3 linked regions of the Arabidopsis thaliana genome follow. The protein of the gene in region 1 purifies or fractionates together with the protein of each later gene. This does not show direct contact. Each region holds a gene or a part of one and is shown in the gene's direction. Other genes may lie near its edges.

Region 1 (7,095 bases):
TAACAGTTTTTATGCAAAATTAACTTCAGAAATTTATGAATAGCAATTCCATAAAAATATATCATAAGAATGTGTAAAAAATCAGAGATTTATTCTCCTTTTTGCTACCGAATCCATTACTCATGTTATTGAGACCCACCCCACTAAACTCATAGGTTAATCACTCTCGGATAAGAACATTCGAACAATTACCGACACACAAAAAGTTTGAAGAGAAAAACAAAAAATGTTGTCGAGATTGTTCAAGGCAGGTGAAAAGGTTTTGTCGAATCTCGTTAGCAAGAAAGACATTTACATGGCGTCGAGGAATCAGGAGAAATCTCCCAAAGTGCAAGAGCTTTACGACCTCTGCAAAGAGACTTTCACTGGCAAAGCTCCTTCTCCTGCTTCCATGGCTATCCAAAAGCTATGCTCTGTGTTGGGTATTTTTCTTTCTTCTTTTGTCTCTGTTTGATTTTCTCCTACTGCGATAGGGTTATTGCAATTGCAGCTAGTTTTGATCGAATCAGTGACCTAGTTAAAGGGTTTAACGTTGTTTTGTTGGATTTGAATAAATGTGGAAACTCATTTGATCCACCAAATCTGGCCAATTGCAGATTCACAATTTGAAATCGTCAGAGTCTCTGAGAAGTGCAAATCTTGTAACTTTGATGTATACATGATGCAAATTTAGGATTTTTAGAGAAGAAATATCATATATTAATATATCAATCTATTCTTCATAGAGGGACTACTAGGATCAGTGATTTTATGGTTCATTGTGGTGAGAGTTGAAGTTAGAATTTGGGGAATGTTTGTTTTATAAGCAGAAGTGTGATTTGTTTTTTGGTCATTCTTGTGTGCAGACTCAGTTAGTCCTGCAGATGTTGGGCTTGAAGAGGTATCTCAAGACGATGATCGAGGCTATGGAGTTTCTGGGGTTAGCCGTTTCAATAGAGTAGGACGATGGGCACAACCGATAACATTCTTAGACATTCATGAATGTGATACTTTTACAGTAAGTCTTTGATTGATACTGAATTCTTTCTGCTGATCAATCAACAAATCTCAAAACACAAGTGTTTGTTTGTCCTTTCTTCAGATGTGTATTTTCTGCTTCCCAACGTCTTCAGTGATCCCATTGCATGATCATCCAGAGATGGCTGTGTTTAGTAAAATCCTCTATGGATCACTTCATGTTAAAGCTTACGATTGGGTCGAACCTCCATGTATTATCACACAAGATAAAGGCGTCCCCGGTTCTCTTCCAGGTTATTGTTAGTTTCTCATCTTGGGTTTCACTTTGTGTCATTGATAATTAAGACTTCTTGCAACTACTTGTATAACAGCAAGGTTGGCGAAATTGGTGAGTGACAAAGTTATAACGCCTCAGTCTGAGATACCGGCGTTGTACCCAAAGACTGGAGGCAATCTCCATTGCTTCACTGCGTTGACTCCATGTGCTGTGCTCGACATTCTCTCACCTCCTTACAAAGAAAGTGTTGGCAGGAGTTGCAGTTACTACATGGACTATCCGTTTTCCACTTTCGGTATGCAAACTTTCTCTCTTTTGCCTTTAGAAGAACATTATGTTACTCTGTTTTCGTTTACCGTTTTTTCTCTTTGGATTGATAATAATAGCATTGGAGAACGGAATGAAGAAGGTGGATGAAGGAAAGGAAGACGAATACGCATGGCTTGTACAGATTGACACGCCCGATGATCTTCACATGCGTCCCGGATCATATACTGGTCCAACTATCAGAGTCTAGATATTTGTGGTTTGTTTTGTAGCAAAGTAGAGCAACTCTTGTAACATTCCAAGATAAGTTTCTGGAGAAGATATCAATACGATTTCAGATTAAAGATGAACTCTTTGTTTAGTCCATGTCCACTTCTCAGTTCTCACACGCATTCAAGCAAATGAAACTGCGGAAAACTACAAATAGATCGGCAATGAGAAATGTTAAGATTTCATTTCGAATCTGTGCTTACATCACTGATAACAGCTTTCACAACTTTGTTAAGAGTGTCTCTTTGTTTCACAACTTAATCGGAAGAGAAGTAGAGGAAAAGATCGTTACGATTATCCAGCGGGAAAAAAAAAACGAATTCTAATGTGCCCGCTATAAAATCTTCCGCAAGAGTGTAACAGTGATGCAGCTGAATCAATAAGACTGTCTTCTTCTCCGAATTTGAAAATTAAATTCCAGTTTTTTCAGTTTGACTCTGCTTCTTCTTCCTCGTGGGTAACGACGATATACCGTTAAAATTAGGAACCAAATTACCCAATGGTCGTCGTCAAATCATTTTTAATCCCAATTTGGTATTTTTCCACGTGGGTCAAACAAAAAACAATTTTTTACATAAAGAGAAGAGAGTAGTGACGAGAAGATTAGCACTACTGAATCAAACTTAGCCGCCGCCACCGTCACGTTGAAACCTTCATCTCTCTATCTCTCTGAGACCTCTCCTTCAATGGCGTCTTCGCTTCTGAGAAACCCTAATCTCTACTCATCAACAACAATCACCACCACTTCTTTTCTTCCCACCTTCTCCTCTAAACCCACACCTATCTCCTCCTCTTTCCGTTTCCAACCATCTCACCACCGTTCAATCTCCCTCCGAAGTCAAACCCTCCGTCTCTCATGCTCAATCTCAGATCCTTCTCCACTACCACCTCACACTCCTCGCCGTCCCCGTCCTGAATACATCCCCAACCGCATTTCCGATCCAAACTACGTCCGCGTCTTCGATACTACTCTCCGTGACGGTGAACAATCTCCAGGAGCTACACTTACTTCCAAGGAAAAACTTGACATCGCTCGTCAGCTAGCTAAACTTGGTGTTGACATCATCGAGGCTGGGTTTCCTGCTGCTTCCAAGGATGATTTTGAAGCGGTTAAGACTATAGCTGAAACAGTTGGAAACACTGTTGATGAGAATGGTTATGTTCCTGTTATCTGTGGACTCTCTAGATGCAATAAGAAGGATATTGAGAGAGCTTGGGATGCTGTGAAATACGCTAAACGGCCTAGGATTCATACTTTTATAGCTACTAGTGATATACATTTGGAGTATAAACTAAAGAAAACCAAAGCAGAGGTCATCGAAATCGCTAGGAGTATGGTTAGATTCGCGAGGAGCTTGGGGTGCGAAGATGTTGAGTTCAGTCCAGAAGATGCAGGAAGGTTCGATTTTTATTAAGATTCCTTGGTAAAGATTCGTACTTTTATTTTTATGGTGATGATTGAAAAATGTTTTTTTTTTTTGTTCTGTAGATCGGAGAGAGAGTACTTATACGAGATTCTTGGTGAAGTGATAAAAGCAGGAGCAACAACTCTCAACATACCTGATACTGTTGGTATAACTTTGCCTAGTGAGTTTGGTCAACTGATTACTGATTTAAAGGCCAATACTCCGGGGATTGAAAATGTTGTCATCTCAACACATTGTCAGAATGATCTTGGACTCTCTACGGCCAACACTTTATCTGTATGTCTTTTTTTTTTTTATACTCGGAACAACTAAGCTGATTCAAACCAGTGAATATATGTGATGCTAATGTGTGTGTGATTACCTTTTTGAATTCAGGGGGCACATGCAGGTGCGAGGCAGATGGAAGTGACGATCAATGGAATTGGTGAAAGAGCTGGAAACGCTTCACTGGAAGAGGTCAGAGTTTTATTAATTTGTCAAGACATGTGAACCTTTCCTGCATTGAAATCTTTTTTGGGGCTTGATCTTACTGAGCAAGACAATTCTGTAGAACCGAGTAGTACCTTTTCATTATCAGTAGCAGTGAGATATCTGGAATAATATTCTCTAGTAAGATTTTAAAAGGCCAAATGTCTAAGTAATGAGTCTTAGTATAGCCTTGGCCCTTGGCTATAATTACCTGAAGAAGAACATGTGGGTGAGATTGTCTCAGGGTAGGCGTTTTAGACTTTCAGTTTATTTTCTGCTTACGCTGCAATGGGATATATAATCCTTACATGATGATTTTCGTGTAAGTGTAGGTTGTGATGGCCATAAAATGCCGTGGAGATCATGTATTAGGAGGTCTATTTACCGGAATTGATACTCGGCACATTGTTATGACAAGCAAGATGGTACCTCTTTTGAACTTTATTCTTTACATTGTGAAAACAAATATTACTTTTTCTTAAGAGGAAAAAGTTTGTAGATTTCCACATAAGCTGTCTCATAACTAGTGGCTTGTTTTCTCAGGTAGAGGAGTACACTGGGATGCAGACACAACCTCATAAGGCTATTGTAGGAGCGAATGCCTTTGCGCATGAAAGTGGAATTCACCAGGTTAATATTTGCATGTTCACTCTTTCAGTCTAGTGCCTAACGGTCCTCTTTTCTTCATGATTATTGTTCTTGTTGAACTTAAATGACTCTTTTACATTTTTAGGATGGAATGCTGAAACACAAGGGTACATATGAAATTATATGTCCCGAAGAAATTGGACTTGAACGATCAAATGATGCTGGCATTGTCTTGGGGAAGCTTAGGTATGAAAGTTATTCTTGTTTAGTCTGTTTTGCCTGTAATTTGTCCTTTTCTTGTTCAGACAATGCAACTAGACTGTAATTGGTGGATATGCTGATAATTTCGAGACGTTATTAGGCGTCATTTTTTTTTTCCAATTTATAAGCTAGTGTACACTACATATGTGTTTGAAACCAGAAGTCTAACTGTTGGTCTCTACTTTTGCTTGGATATATATTATGCAGTGGGCGTCATGCGCTGAAAGACCGTTTGACTGAGGTGCACAGCAATCTTACACATACAAATACTTGTATTGCCATCTTTGTGGGAGACACTAATGTTCTCTTATCTTTTGTACATTTCCAGCTTGGTTATCAATTAGATGATGAACAGCTAAGTACCATTTTCTGGCGCTTCAAAACCGTGGCTGAGCAGAAAAAGGTAGTTGCTTTTGGTTATTGTGTATTTCCTCGGAAACCTAACTTGCGTTTTCAATTCCAAATAAAAGCTTCGCAGCCATTTTGAAAGCTTTGTTAGACCTATAAGACTTGAGTCTCCGTGGCTAATTTGGAATGTACTTTGTTTCCTTAGTTCTGGCTGCATAAACTTAGGATGTGTAGAGGATTACTCTTTCTATTTTCTAGTGCTCTTGATTTGTTAATGTAATGTCTTCTGATCGTATATGTTCCCTTGCTGATCCAGAGAGTTACTGATGCGGACATAATAGCTTTAGTATCTGATGAAGTTTTCCAGCCAGAAGCCGTGTGGAAACTCCTGGACATTCAGGTGAAATTGGGATCATAATGTGCTTTCTTACTCTTTTTTCTTGTTCATTGTCTTTATCCAATTCTCATGGTACTTAAAAGTGGAATGCAGATAACTTGTGGAACTCTCGGGCTTTCAACAGCAACTGTAAAACTTGCTGACGCTGATGGCAAAGAACATGTCGCTTGTTCTATTGGAACTGGGCCTGTGGATTCAGCTTACAAGGCAGTAGATCTTATCGTAAAGGTACTGTTTATACCGCTGAGGCTCTCATCTACAAATAACTCACCAGTGGGTCATCGCTTATTGAAAACCTTTTTCCCCCTTTAGGAACCGGCTACTCTGCTTGAGTACTCAATGAATGCAGTAACAGAAGGCATTGATGCCATCGCAACCACAAGAGTTCTTATCCGTGGAAGCAACAAATACTCATCTACAAACGCAATAACTGGTGAAGAGGTTCAAAGAACCTTTAGGTAAAATCCTCTTTTGCCCCATATCTCATTCAAACCGGATCGATTTATCTGCGAAGTTTATTGTTTCTTGTTGATTCTTGCTTGTATTATAACACCAAACCGGTTGTCTTGTGTTTGGCAGTGGAACTGGAGCAGGAATGGATATTGTGGTGTCAAGCGTCAAAGCTTATGTTGGAGCTTTGAACAAAATGATGGACTTCAAAGAAAACTCCGCCACAAAAATCCCTTCCCAAAAAAACAGAGTCGCTGCCTGAATTAAAAATCTTTCCGGCAAATACCAAAAAGTCAGACAGAAGTTAGGTTCTTTTATTTTCAAGTACATAGTTTGGTAATAACTGGAGTTTCGGAGTTTGCTTGTTGTTTATCGAAGTTGCATGTCAAAAGAGTTTGGTGTACTATATATATCTTGATTTAACTTGAATCTCTATTTTTAGAAATAATGGTTTTAGAATAAGGAATAAAAACCAACCGTTAAACAGTTTTAACCTATTTCAAAAAGCTGTCTTTAGACTAAACTAAGGTCTTAAAACTCAAAAACAAAACTGATACCTCTCTGTTCTTGATTCCTTGTCTCTTTGTTACAACCTCTTCATATATCACACAAGTCAAAACATCATATACTCTACGAGTCATTTTAGATTTCCTGATTTGCAAAAAATGTCAGAGATACGAACAGGGTTCTTAACAATGGCGACCATAATCCTTATATGCATAGGCTTAACAATGACGGGAACAGGTTTATATTACAGAAAAACAGTCTCGAAATGTATCCGAGAAACGGATGGCAGTTTCGTCGTCATTGGTTTGCTCTTGCTGGTGATTCCTCAGTTTGCTCTTTACGCAATCTGTTGTCACTCAAAACGTATGTTCACAATCTACATCTATGCAATGATATTCGTAAGCATTGTCCTTGGTGGCTACTCTTTAAAGTGTTTCATCTACAACACAACCTTTGGAATCGCCAAGAACCCGGCTGAGGAAAAGCGAACCGCCAAGCAATTGGTAGGCAGGCTAGTCCCTGAAAGTAAACTTGCAAAAGTCACGGAGTGCATCATTCATAACCATGACTGTAACTTCAATGCCAGCCAAAACAGCAATGTTTGGGTAAGTACTTAATTATGTCACCTCATCCTGATTCATTCGTAATAAAAGATCAATTCTCTAACAATGATGATATATATAGAGGTATTGCTGCGCGCAACCAAGAGGATGTGGAGTGACGACAATGTTCGGGCAACCAGGAGAATGGAGTTGGAAACATCAACACGTAGAGAACCATGTTCCGGAAGAATGTTCTTACGAATACTGTCTCAGTTGCAGAGGTTGCCAGATGAGCATCTTAAAAGCCATTGTTCATCAATGGAAATATCTCTCCAT
Region 2 (6,465 bases), on another chromosome or scaffold:
AAAAACGGATTAAAACGTAAATCGATGTGCCAATCATTTCCAACTATCACAAAATGAAATATTGTTGCTACTGATGTGCATTGACCGCTTTCTATAATATGTTTGATATACTGTATCAGCCATGGATGAGTGTCACAAGTGTTTGAAACACAAAAGAACTAGAAGAACAGTCACGGTACCTCCAAAGGACCCACGAAAGACATTGCAGGCAGAATCCTCCATTAATAGCCGTAGCTCCGTTTCTTTGAGAAAGCTTTTATCATTGTTCACATCGGAAACAGCTGCCTCTAGAGCTACTTTTGCAGCTCTTCCGATAACCGAATCAAAAGCAAAAACAGCACCGATGTTCACCAGTTGAGGTCTTTGGCAATCCATTGGAACCACCAGAATGACCACAATCAGTGCCGTAATAGCGACAGATGGGTCAATGCCCAGTCCCATGGAGATAATGCAATCAAAGTAAGGACCACTTCAGATAGTTTGTGTTGGAACTAGAACCATCTCATTTAAATCTAGCAACTCTTCATTCAGCATTGAGGATGAGAAGATTAGAGAACTAAGCAAGGTAAAGTTTCCAACTTTGACCTGTAGAGTCAATGCGATTAGAAGACGAATCAAGATCTAAGCGAAGAGCAATCACAAGTCAAACCAAATTGATTATTTTAGCTGAAAACTAGCAACAATGTGGATATGAAGACTTATATACACAAACTCATCCGGACAGAAGAAAAATCTGAAAAAGAGTTTTTACAAATTCATTGAAATTAACAACAGTGAGACATTCTCTTTACCTCTTTGAGCTACCTTCTGGTTCTCTCTGCGGAATATACGCAAACACTTTGTAGGCATAAGTTAAAAAAGGGAAATTTTACGACAACGCAACGAATTTTTAACAAGAGAAGTCAAGAACTATCTTTTTTAAAAAACCATGATTTGACAGGAGATTACTAAAGGAAGAGAAACAAAACTAGAGAGATCAAATCATGCCCAGAAATTCATCCATCATTCTTCTTCTTCTGAGAACAAAATAGAAGAGAGAAATTGAAAAACGTGTGACTGAAGTGCTTTTTTGATTCGAGCTCACAAAGTCCTATCTAGTCTATATACTCTATAGTCACAGCAGCCGTTTGTTTGTATTTTTGTTTTCAGTGGGGCCCATCATTATTGGGCCCTACATGTAACGGCCCATTTTGTTAAGTTTATTTAAGATTAGATTACAATATAAATATTTTAATTGCCATGTGTTAATCATTTTATTTCTTCTCAAAAGTTTATTCTCTTAAGTTAATTTGTCAATGAAATGTTAATAGTATTTCATTTTATTTTTGCATAAAGAGAGACCCGTAGCAAGGCAAAATTTGAGTTGGCGTTTTTTATTCATAATAAAGATTTTTAGGCGGCAAAAAACTATTACATAATGAGATTTTATCACTTATTCATCTAATAATATTTAATTAAATTACATATGTGTTTTTTTCTAGCTATGTCATTTATTTTTACAATTTATATAAAATTTTGATATGTTTCCATGTATATATATATTTTAATAAATGAAAACTCAATCCAGAAAACATAAATTTTGATTTTATTTTAAATTATATGTTTTTATTTATAATTTGTTATCTCTTTTATACATTAAGGTGTTTTTGCAATAATACAGTCTTAATTTTTAAAAATTACAATTAAGCCCTAAACTTTGTAAATGTTCCAAATTAGGAAGGAAATAAAGAAAGGAGACAACTTAAGGTTCTCTTATTAAATGCCATTCCCTTTCTTTCTTACAAGTCACAACCTCTCTCTCTCTCTCTCTCTCTCTCTCTCTCTCTCTGCGTCTTTCTCTTTCTCTCTGTCTGAAGTTGAGAACACGAACCACTGAAAAACCCGCGAAAGACTCGAGCACGAACCAACAATGGCGGAACCCAAAACCAAGTATGATCGTCAGCTAAGGTGCACTCTTTCTCCTCCCAACTCTCTTTCTCTTCTTCAACTTCTCTGTCTCTTTCATCATTCTTCTTAATTTCGCTCAAATTGTGATGATTGGGGATAAATTCATAGGATTTGGGGAGAATTAGGTCAATCAGCTCTTGAAACCGCGAGCATATGTTTGCTCAATTGTGGTCCAACTGGCTCTGAGGCTCTAAAGAATCTTGTTATTGGTGGAATCGGAAGTATCACCATTGTCGACGGATCTAAAGTAGAAATTGGCGACCTTGGAAACAATTTCATGGGTATAATTCTCTCTTTTTCATCTTTCTTAAGCAATGCGTTTCTTCTATTTGCTGTTTATTGACATTTATTGATGATTGTTGTTGATGTTTCAGTGGATGCGAAGAGCGTTGGTCAGTCAAGAGCCAAAACGGTCTGTGGCTTTCTTCAGGAGCTTAACGATTCTGTTAAAGCAAATTTTGTTGAGGAGAATCCAGACACTTTGATATCGACAGACCCATCTTTCTTCTCTCAGTTCACTCTAGTTATCGCCACTCAGGTACATTATGTTGAGGATTAGATAGTTTCTAGTCTTTGTTTTCAGATTTTCACAGAGCGTTTGCCTTATTAGTTTGTCATGTGTTGATTGTAGCTAGTAGAAGATTCAATGGTGAAATTAGATAGAATCTGCCGGGAAGCAAACGTCATGTTGGTTTTGGCTCGCTCCTATGGACTTACTGGGTTTGTTCGTATCAGTGTAAAGGTAAGATTTTTGTGGATAGAGTGCTTTGTCACTTGTCATATGGTCTGTCTGCTAACTGCTATGTCATGTTCGCTCTTTCCTGTCAGGAACACACCGCTATTGAGACAAAGCCTGATCATTCTCTTGATGATCTCCGCTTGAATAGTCCATGGCCTGAGCTGAAGAGGTACTCTGCTTCAATCTTCTCACTCGTTATGTGTTCTTGCCATTCTTTAAACTTGTGTTTCAAATTACTTTTAATCTCCACAAACTTGCAACCAGTTGAAAGAAAATCTTATTTATTCAATGATCTGCAGCTATGTGGAGTCCATTGATCTAAATGTAGAAGAACCCGCTGCCCATAAGCACATTCCTTACGTCGTCATTCTAGTCAAGGTGGCTGAAGAATGGGCTCAACACCATAGCGGCAACCTTCCATCAACCAGGGAAGAGAAAAACGAGTTTAAGGTATCCTTACTTTTTGTTAATCAGCAAACAGTTATTAATCTTTGTTTTTCTTGTGATTCCTTGTCTTTATCTCTCTTACTCCTTGAAATTTTAGGACTTAGTTAAGTCCAAGATGGTATCAGCGGATGAAGAAAATTACAAAGAAGCCCTTCTTGCAGCTTTCAAAGTCTTTGCTCCTACAGGAATCAGTAAGTATACATACACCTCGTCTTGACATCGGTGGAAACTGGACTTTTAAATATATACTATAGATGCTGGAAATAAAGAAATTGGTTGGAGAATGGGAAAAACTGCAACGAGAACCAAATGGACAACTATCTACTATTTTCATGAAGCATGATTCATTGCTGCTCATTCATAACAGATCAGTTAACATTGGAGTTCAAAATATGAAGTCAGTTTTCACATTGAACTAAACATGTTTTCTTTTTCTCCAGGCCAAGAGATTCAAGACATTAATCATGATAGTTGTGCTGAAGTTGGCTCAAATTCCTCAGATTTTTGGGTAATGGTAGCAGCACTCAAGGTTTGTAACTTGAAAGACCTCACTTCAAAGCACATACTTCATATTGATATTTCAAACATGGAAGGGGTTGAGAACGTTTGTTGGGGTTTTAGTATTTTTTTGATCCAAGTTAGCTTTTTTTTCTGATTCCCATCAACATGGCTCAAATTCCTCAGATTTTTCTGATCCAAGTTAACCCTACTTATTATATGCATCATCTGCAGGAGTTTATTTCAAATGAAGGTGGTGGGGAGGTACCACTTGAAGGTTCCATGCCTGATATGATATCTTCCACAGAGTAAGTTCTCCTGTTCTTGCTTTTGTTTCATGGGAGGGATAAAATTCGTCCATCACCTTTATCAGATTACTATATAGCTGTATTGTATCTTTTGCAGGCACTACATCAATTTGCAGAAAATCTACCATTCCAAAGCGGAAGCTGATTTTCTTTCCATGGAACAGAGAGTAAAAAGTATTCTAGTTAAAGTTGGTCAGGATCCAAGTAGCATCTCAAAGCCAACTATCAAGAGCTTCTGCAAGAATGCACGAAAACTTAAAGTGAGAATGCTGAAATTTCTTACAATTTGATGTGTACTGTATCATTAAAACCGGGAATTGCGCCTTGTAGGTCTGCAGATATAGAACGATAGAAGACGAGTTCAAAAGTCCTTCTACAACAGAACTACATAAGTACTTGGCTGATGAGAATTACAGGTAAGAATGACTTCGTCAAAATTGATTCTTTTATACGACCATAGAGACTGTGATAACAAAAATATTACTGGAGTATATTTGTAGAACTGAAAAATAATATTTACAGTTGCAGCATTTTGGAGGCATGTTGCTGTTAGCTCTTAAGGGTCTTACCACTTTTCTGTTTATTCCTCTTGCAGTGGCGCAATTGGATTTTATATTCTTCTTAGAGCTGTTGATAGATTTGCTGGTACCTATAAGAAGTTTCCTGGACAGTTTGATGGGTAAGAGAACACATTCTGGCAAAATTTGATTGTATCTTGAATAATTTTGGCATTGTTAGGCCATTAACATGTCTCTTTTCTCATAGATCAACTGATGAGGACGCATCCCAGTTAAAGACTATTGCCCTGAGTCTTCTTAGTGAAATGGGTTGTGACGGCTATGAACTTCAGGAAGAACTGTACAATGAGATGTGTAGATTTGGTGCTGCAGAGATTCACGTGGTTGCTGCTTTAATAGGAGGAATCACATCTCAAGAAGTGATCAAGGTTCGTTTCATATCCATGTTGCTCAAAATGGTTACCCCGCAGTATCAAATAGGAGTGTGAAACAAACATTAACCTCTTTTATGGTTTGGCAATGTTTGCAGCTCATCACAAAGCAGTTTGTTCCCAAGCGAGGAACTTTCATCTTCAACGGCATTGATCACAAGTCTCAGTCTTTGACATTATAGAAGATTCTTAGACACTGGTGGCTGCAGAAGAACTCCAACATATCTTTTACCCTCACTTCAAGTTGAAACTTAACCTTTTCTTGGAGTTTTTATTCTGCTATACACCAGACTAACTAGATATCATTTCTTTGTAGAAACAGTTTCGAATTCCTCATGTATATTGATTGATTTTGAGCCGCGGTTCAAAACCGAAGAGCTCGCGTTAAGTGATGGGCATAGAGCCATTTTTGTATGACTTTCCTAAAGCAAAATTCTGGTATCGTTTCAAAATAGTCATATACTGCAATTTTAAAAGGATCAGACTTTTGGCTAAAACAAAGTACAGAGGTCTACAGAAGAATACAACAACAAACCACTGATGCGGTCGGGGGATTACAAAATAATCCTAGATTATGACAATCCAAAATTGACGAAACGGTAGAGATGGTACAGAAACAGACAAATCTACTCGGTGGAGAGTCTCTTTGTGGGATTGTAAACGCTGAATTCTCCAAAGTCTCTTCGGCCACTAGCAACAAAACAATCAAACCCTTGTAAAGAACAAGGTCCACATAAATTCACTTTTAGTAAATTCAAAGACTTTTGGTTCTCTAACACAAAAGTTGTTACTTGTCTCATGTCACAACAAGATATGATAAACATCCAAGTAGAACCTCAAGTTTATAATTAAAAAGAAGACGTAAATCTAAGGTTTACCTGTGACTAACATTCCAACCACCAGGTAAATGGCGAGGATGAACAGCATCAACAAACACTTTTCTCCACCTTTGACAGAAATCACGTACACCATCTTCTCCATGTTCCCTTAAAAGATATTCTACGATCTGTTTCCCGTGCGGTCCATGTCCTAACAAAGAGAGTTTGGAGTTTTGTTGGTGCAACGTATTCCCATTACACTGAGTATCATTTAGCTCTTTAGCTCCATCTCCTTCACTTGTACCATCACCACTATCATCAACAACTGTGCTCCTTTCTACAGTCATAATTTTCTCAAAATCTGCAAGAGCCTCCCCATCATTGTTTTCATCTAAAGATACGAAGTTGTTTGCATCAGTATTTCTGGATATCAAAGGATCATCATATCTTACACTTTATCAACCAACACAATTTTCAATGCTTATTATATGGTTACCTTCTTGTTTGTCCATACCAGCAACCTCTGCAGAATGTTTGAAGGAGACCCCTTTTTTCCTTTCGAGTTTTCTTCTTTCGTGAGGGCTCAATCCGATGAGTAAAGCTTTCTCTAAATCTTCTTCAGATAGGTCCCGTCCACCGTAATACATCTTCACAGTCTATATTCAGAATCCAAAAGAAAGTATCAATAACAGAATACTTGGTTCAAATCAATTTCTTGAAAGTTGAAATAGTTAGATGATCACATCACCTGCAACAATT
Region 3 (4,276 bases), on another chromosome or scaffold:
TGCAGCCATCGACGACGACCATCAAGCAATTTTTATATGTGGAAAGTTTTTTCAAAAATTATTAGTAAGTGGACACGTCAGACAAAACAGAGAGTTGAAAAAAAAAAAACATAAGTGTAGAGAGAGCGAAAGACACAAGTGGAGCTGGTCGGAAGTTGGAAAGTTGGAAACAGCTTAGCCGCCCACGTCGGCCCTACAATTGATTCGACGTTGTTAAGATATAAAGCCCAATTATAATGTACTTAACTAAAAGGCTTTTACTTTAGGCCCATATGTAGATCTTTGTTTTCTTTTGTTAAAAGTTAAAACACCAATATCAATTAGTGCTTACATTATTCGAAAAATCATTACAAATTTACGTGTCATTTTAAATTGATAGTGGAAATAAATAAATAAATAAGACTAGGAATAATAATCGCAAGAAAATCTTCCCCACGTTAACGATGATCACAATTCACAAGTTCTTAGTCTTCCTTATTTATTTGTTGTTTGGCCAAATTTTTTTGGTCTTTGTTAAATTATAAAAATATAGATCTCTATGTATATAAAAATATGGGTAATATTAGAAACTAACTATGAAATGGAAAAGAATTGAGAGAATGACATTGTGTCAGAAAAGTTAGGTAAATAACATTTTCTGAAAAAGAGAAAATACAAAAATATCCTTGTGTTTACTTATTTTTACAATAATGCCATTGGCTTTAGTTATAAAGTTTATATGTATTTGTCTAAAATAGCATGATATATTTACAAAAATCATGCAATTCTTTAAAATACATACAGAATATATATACACGATATATATGTTTCTCTGAAATAATGTGTTTCTCAGAAATAGCACGAAATATTTATAAAAAGCATGCAATTCTCTTATAGATCGCGAAGTTTAAAAAAACATATAGAATTGTTACAATATTACATGGGTTTTTATTGGATAACATGACAAATATTTATTTATTTCATGAGTTTTTATTGGATAGCATGACAAATATTAATATATCAGTGTTAATAACATGTTTTGTTCTTAAAATACATGCATTTTAAAATCAGACATTTGTTTTAAAATCAAATCTAATCTCTTATATCACAACGACATTGACGGAAAATTCAGGTAAAAAGAGAAAATAAAGAATGAGAGATAGAGAGATTTCTATGGAAAAAGAAAGAGAGAACATGTAGGTGAACAAAATAAAGAGATATGATGATATATTTTATGAGAGGTGGTGAAGATTATTTTAGGAGAGGGAGAGAGAAATAGAAAAAGAAAATGACATGGTGAATCTGAAGAAGATGAATTGTGTTAAAGATGAAGAGAGAAAGAGAACTCCATGGCTAAAGTCTCGTAAAGAAGATGAAAAAGAAACAAAAGAAGGAAGAAGAAAGAGAAAGGCTAAAATAGACTAACTATTGCCAAAATTTCTGTAGCCGACAAATACTATTTGGTCCAAGGTTATTTTGTGTATTCTTTTGAAGTCAAAAGTTATTTCTTACATATACTCTAAAAATATAGCCGATACCAATTTTTCCACACATGGACTTCCTTTATTCCAAAAGTCAATAAAGTGTGACGTCATGATACTTACGCTTTAAAACATCGCATGATGATGTCATTAGCATCAATCTCCACCGTCCAATTTATTTAGTTGTTGACAATATCGACCGTCTAAGTTCCACACCGACGGCTATAAGAGTTTCATTATAAATTTTAGCAAAATAAAATCAGCAAATAATTTTTTCTTGACTAAGCTTAAACGACGCCGTTAACATTTTCTTCTGGCTAACATGAACAACTCTTTGAAGAAAGAAGAACGCGTAGAAGAAGATAACGGAAAATCTGACGGTAACAGAGGGAAACCGTCGACGGAAGTTGTTCGGACGGTAACGGAGGAAGAGGTGGATGAGTTTTTCAAGATATTACGGAGAGTACACGTGGCGACACGAACGGTTGCGAAAGTTAACGGCGGTGTTGCTGAGGGAGAGTTACCGTCTAAGAAGAGGAAACGGAGTCAGAATCTTGGGTTGAGAAACTCGTTGGATTGTAACGGCGTTCGAGACGGAGAATTCGATGAGATTAATCGGGTCGGGTTACAGGGTTTGGGTTTGGATCTGAACTGTAAACCGGAACCAGACAGCGTTAGTTTATCGTTGTAGACTTGTAGTCCTTCATGTTTTTCCCCTTCTTACAATAATCAATTTTTTTTTAACTACAATACTTTTGAAAAAAATGGTAAAAGAAGATTATTAACATGTTATCCAAATTTCAGATTCTTCAGTTTTATTTTATACGTCAAAAGAGAAGTTATATATTTGCAAAACTACAAGTCAAACAAAAGCTATTTAAGCGTTTGACGTTCCTAAACAACATAAATTTTACTAAAATCAATGTTTTAAAAAAGTGTTGATGGTAAAGATATCAATTGGGCCTTTGCCTGGCCCGTTTAGTAATATTGCAGAGTAGGTATGGGCCTGTATAAGGGAGTCCAAAAAAAGAGCGGGCATTGCGGGTTGGGTGCGTTTGGAACTTTGGATTGTGGATTAGTCATGGTTTATCTATTAATGTCTGCGGACTTGTGGACGACGCGCTTGTTCTTCTTCCTCTGTTTACGACTTACGAACATATGATCTCTCATCTCTAACAATGATGGAACCTAAAGCCAAGTACGATCGTCAACTCATGTATACTATGTTAGTCTCTTCGAACTCTACATTTGTATTATTCTATCGATCTTCGAACGAATCTTGTTGGGAGGAAATTTTATGAAGTAATCGTTGATTGATTAGGATTTTGAGGTGAAGTCAAGGGACTTTGGAAGAAGCGAGTATCTGTTTACTCAATTGTGGTCCTATTGGTTCCAATGCCTTGAAGAATCTCGTCCTTGGTGGTGTTGGTAGTATCACCATCGTTGAAGGATCCAAGGTTCTAATTGGAGACATTTGGAAACAATTTCATAGGTACTAAGTAATGACTAGTTTTTGATTTTTTTTGTTGCTATTTTTAGATGCTATTTGTGTAGTTAAATAGTTATGACATCTCTTTTTCGTCGTTGTTTGGTTATAGCTGGTGGAAGATTCAATGGTGAACCTAGATATTAACGATGGAGTAGACTGAACAGTTTGTGTTTGGTGATAACACAGAATTACAAAACTTGTGGAATAACCATTTATTACGGTCAAAGTCTCTTGTCTTCAAAGGCATGCAATAGAACAGAAGTTCTCCATAAGCGAAGGTTTCAGAGACGAGAACAACACTGTGTTTCAGAGACGAGAACAACACAGTGTGTTTCAGAGACAACTAGAACAGAACAGGATTGCGGGCCAGACCGTTAGACCAATGGACATTGCGAGGCGAATATGGGCTTCGATTGGTCGCATGTGGTCGTTGGCGGACCGGACCACCACTTATGGAAAAGAAGCACGGGCCATCACGGACCCCCCATTTGGTCGCGTGCTCGCCCGTCTGACATCCCTAGTTGATCGTCATCTAGATTTTAGACGTTTATGTGATATCTAAATAACCGTTTTGGCTGTCTAAAATTCCATAAGTTTTATTTTAGTTTATTTTTTAGTTTTCAACTATATAAATTTAAATTATAAGTTTTAGCTTTGTATATATTGTTTGTTTCCAACTATATAAATTTAAATTATAAGTTTTAGCTTTGTATATATTGTTTGTTTCCAACTATATCAATTTAAATTATAAGTTTTAGCTTTGTATATATTGTTTGCTATGAATTATAAATGGTTTTATCTAAGTTTTGTTTATAATTTCATATTTTTATTTTTCTAAGAGATAGTTTTCTATGAATTTTATTTATAATATAATATTTATAATATGTTATGTTGTAAATGTGTAGCCGCTTAAAATCTCCTAAATCATGATTAGACGTTCTAGGCGTAGATCACCACCTCTTAAGTAGCTAGTTAGATTTAGCAGATTATCCAGTTATCATGCAGATTAATTGTATTAGATAGATTTTGGTAAGATAGGTGAATTTAGCCTAATGCTTTTAAATTTATGTATTTTAAAATTAGTGAATACTGAATACTCATATTTCTTGCTTATGTATTTTGATTAATTTAAAATATACAATTTATTTCTATTAACTTGTTTTTATTATGTTATATTAATACAGAAATATATTTTATTTTTATTTGAAAACTATTTAAACCTCTAAAAAATCGTCTATCCACTAATTGACTAATTGTTCTAGCCCTTTAGGCATTAAGCAGAGAGTTATAGTCCATTTATTGTTTTCTTGACATTGGAAAATACTAA

The links.
Region 2: the proteins of MAML-4 (region 1) and AXL fractionate together in Arabidopsis thaliana (co-fractionation; one large-scale study listed by BioGRID). This does not show direct contact.
Region 3: the proteins of MAML-4 (region 1) and AT3G25880 fractionate together in Arabidopsis thaliana (co-fractionation; one large-scale study listed by BioGRID). This does not show direct contact.

Annotation. Positions count from the first base shown.
Region 1 is NC_003070.9:6,366,890-6,373,984, forward strand, and holds MAML-4 (methylthioalkylmalate synthase-like 4), read left to right. Parts: upstream 1-2,076; 5' UTR 2,077-2,457; coding exon 2,458-3,170; intron 3,171-3,260; coding exon 3,261-3,474; intron 3,475-3,573; coding exon 3,574-3,654; intron 3,655-3,998; coding exon 3,999-4,091; intron 4,092-4,209; coding exon 4,210-4,296; intron 4,297-4,399; coding exon 4,400-4,500; intron 4,501-4,722; coding exon 4,723-4,756; intron 4,757-4,843; coding exon 4,844-4,918; intron 4,919-5,179; coding exon 5,180-5,263; intron 5,264-5,353; coding exon 5,354-5,488; intron 5,489-5,572; coding exon 5,573-5,718; intron 5,719-5,839; coding exon 5,840-5,972; 3' UTR 5,973-6,191; downstream 6,192-7,095. Other genes in the region: AT1G18490 (2-aminoethanethiol dioxygenase, putative (DUF1637)), read left to right, coding at 227-422, 846-997, 1,082-1,250, 1,329-1,529, 1,621-1,751; TET16 (tetraspanin), read left to right, coding at 6,376-6,822, 6,902-7,095.
Region 2 is NC_003071.7:13,755,793-13,762,257, forward strand, and holds AXL (AXR1-like protein), read left to right. Parts: upstream 1-1,800; 5' UTR 1,801-1,909; coding exon 1,910-1,947; intron 1,948-2,055; coding exon 2,056-2,228; intron 2,229-2,321; coding exon 2,322-2,485; intron 2,486-2,578; coding exon 2,579-2,689; intron 2,690-2,775; coding exon 2,776-2,855; intron 2,856-2,985; coding exon 2,986-3,136; intron 3,137-3,230; coding exon 3,231-3,324; intron 3,325-3,573; coding exon 3,574-3,662; intron 3,663-3,865; coding exon 3,866-3,939; intron 3,940-4,036; coding exon 4,037-4,199; intron 4,200-4,269; coding exon 4,270-4,355; coding exon of another isoform or gene 4,356-4,359; exon of another isoform or gene 4,360-4,461; coding exon of another isoform or gene 4,462-4,492; exon of another isoform or gene 4,493-4,534; coding exon 4,535-4,618; intron 4,619-4,704; coding exon 4,705-4,885; intron 4,886-4,986; coding exon 4,987-5,070; 3' UTR 5,071-5,360; downstream 5,361-6,465. Other genes in the region: GLR5 (glutamate receptor 5), read right to left, coding at 180-441; AT2G32415 (Polynucleotidyl transferase, ribonuclease H fold protein with HRDC domain-containing protein), read right to left, coding at 5,515-5,578, 5,767-6,097, 6,203-6,362, 6,455-6,465. UniProt on the Arabidopsis thaliana protein: Regulatory subunit of the dimeric ECR1-AXL1 E1 enzyme.
Region 3 is NC_003074.8:9,468,396-9,472,671, reverse strand, and holds AT3G25880 (NAD(P)-binding Rossmann-fold superfamily protein), read left to right. Parts: upstream 1-2,638; coding exon 2,639-2,685; intron 2,686-2,796; coding exon 2,797-2,952; coding exon of another isoform or gene 2,953-2,959; exon of another isoform or gene 2,960-3,058; coding exon 3,059-3,080; 3' UTR 3,081-3,567; downstream 3,568-4,276. Other genes in the region: NIMIN-2 (NIM1-interacting 2), read left to right, coding at 1,783-2,151.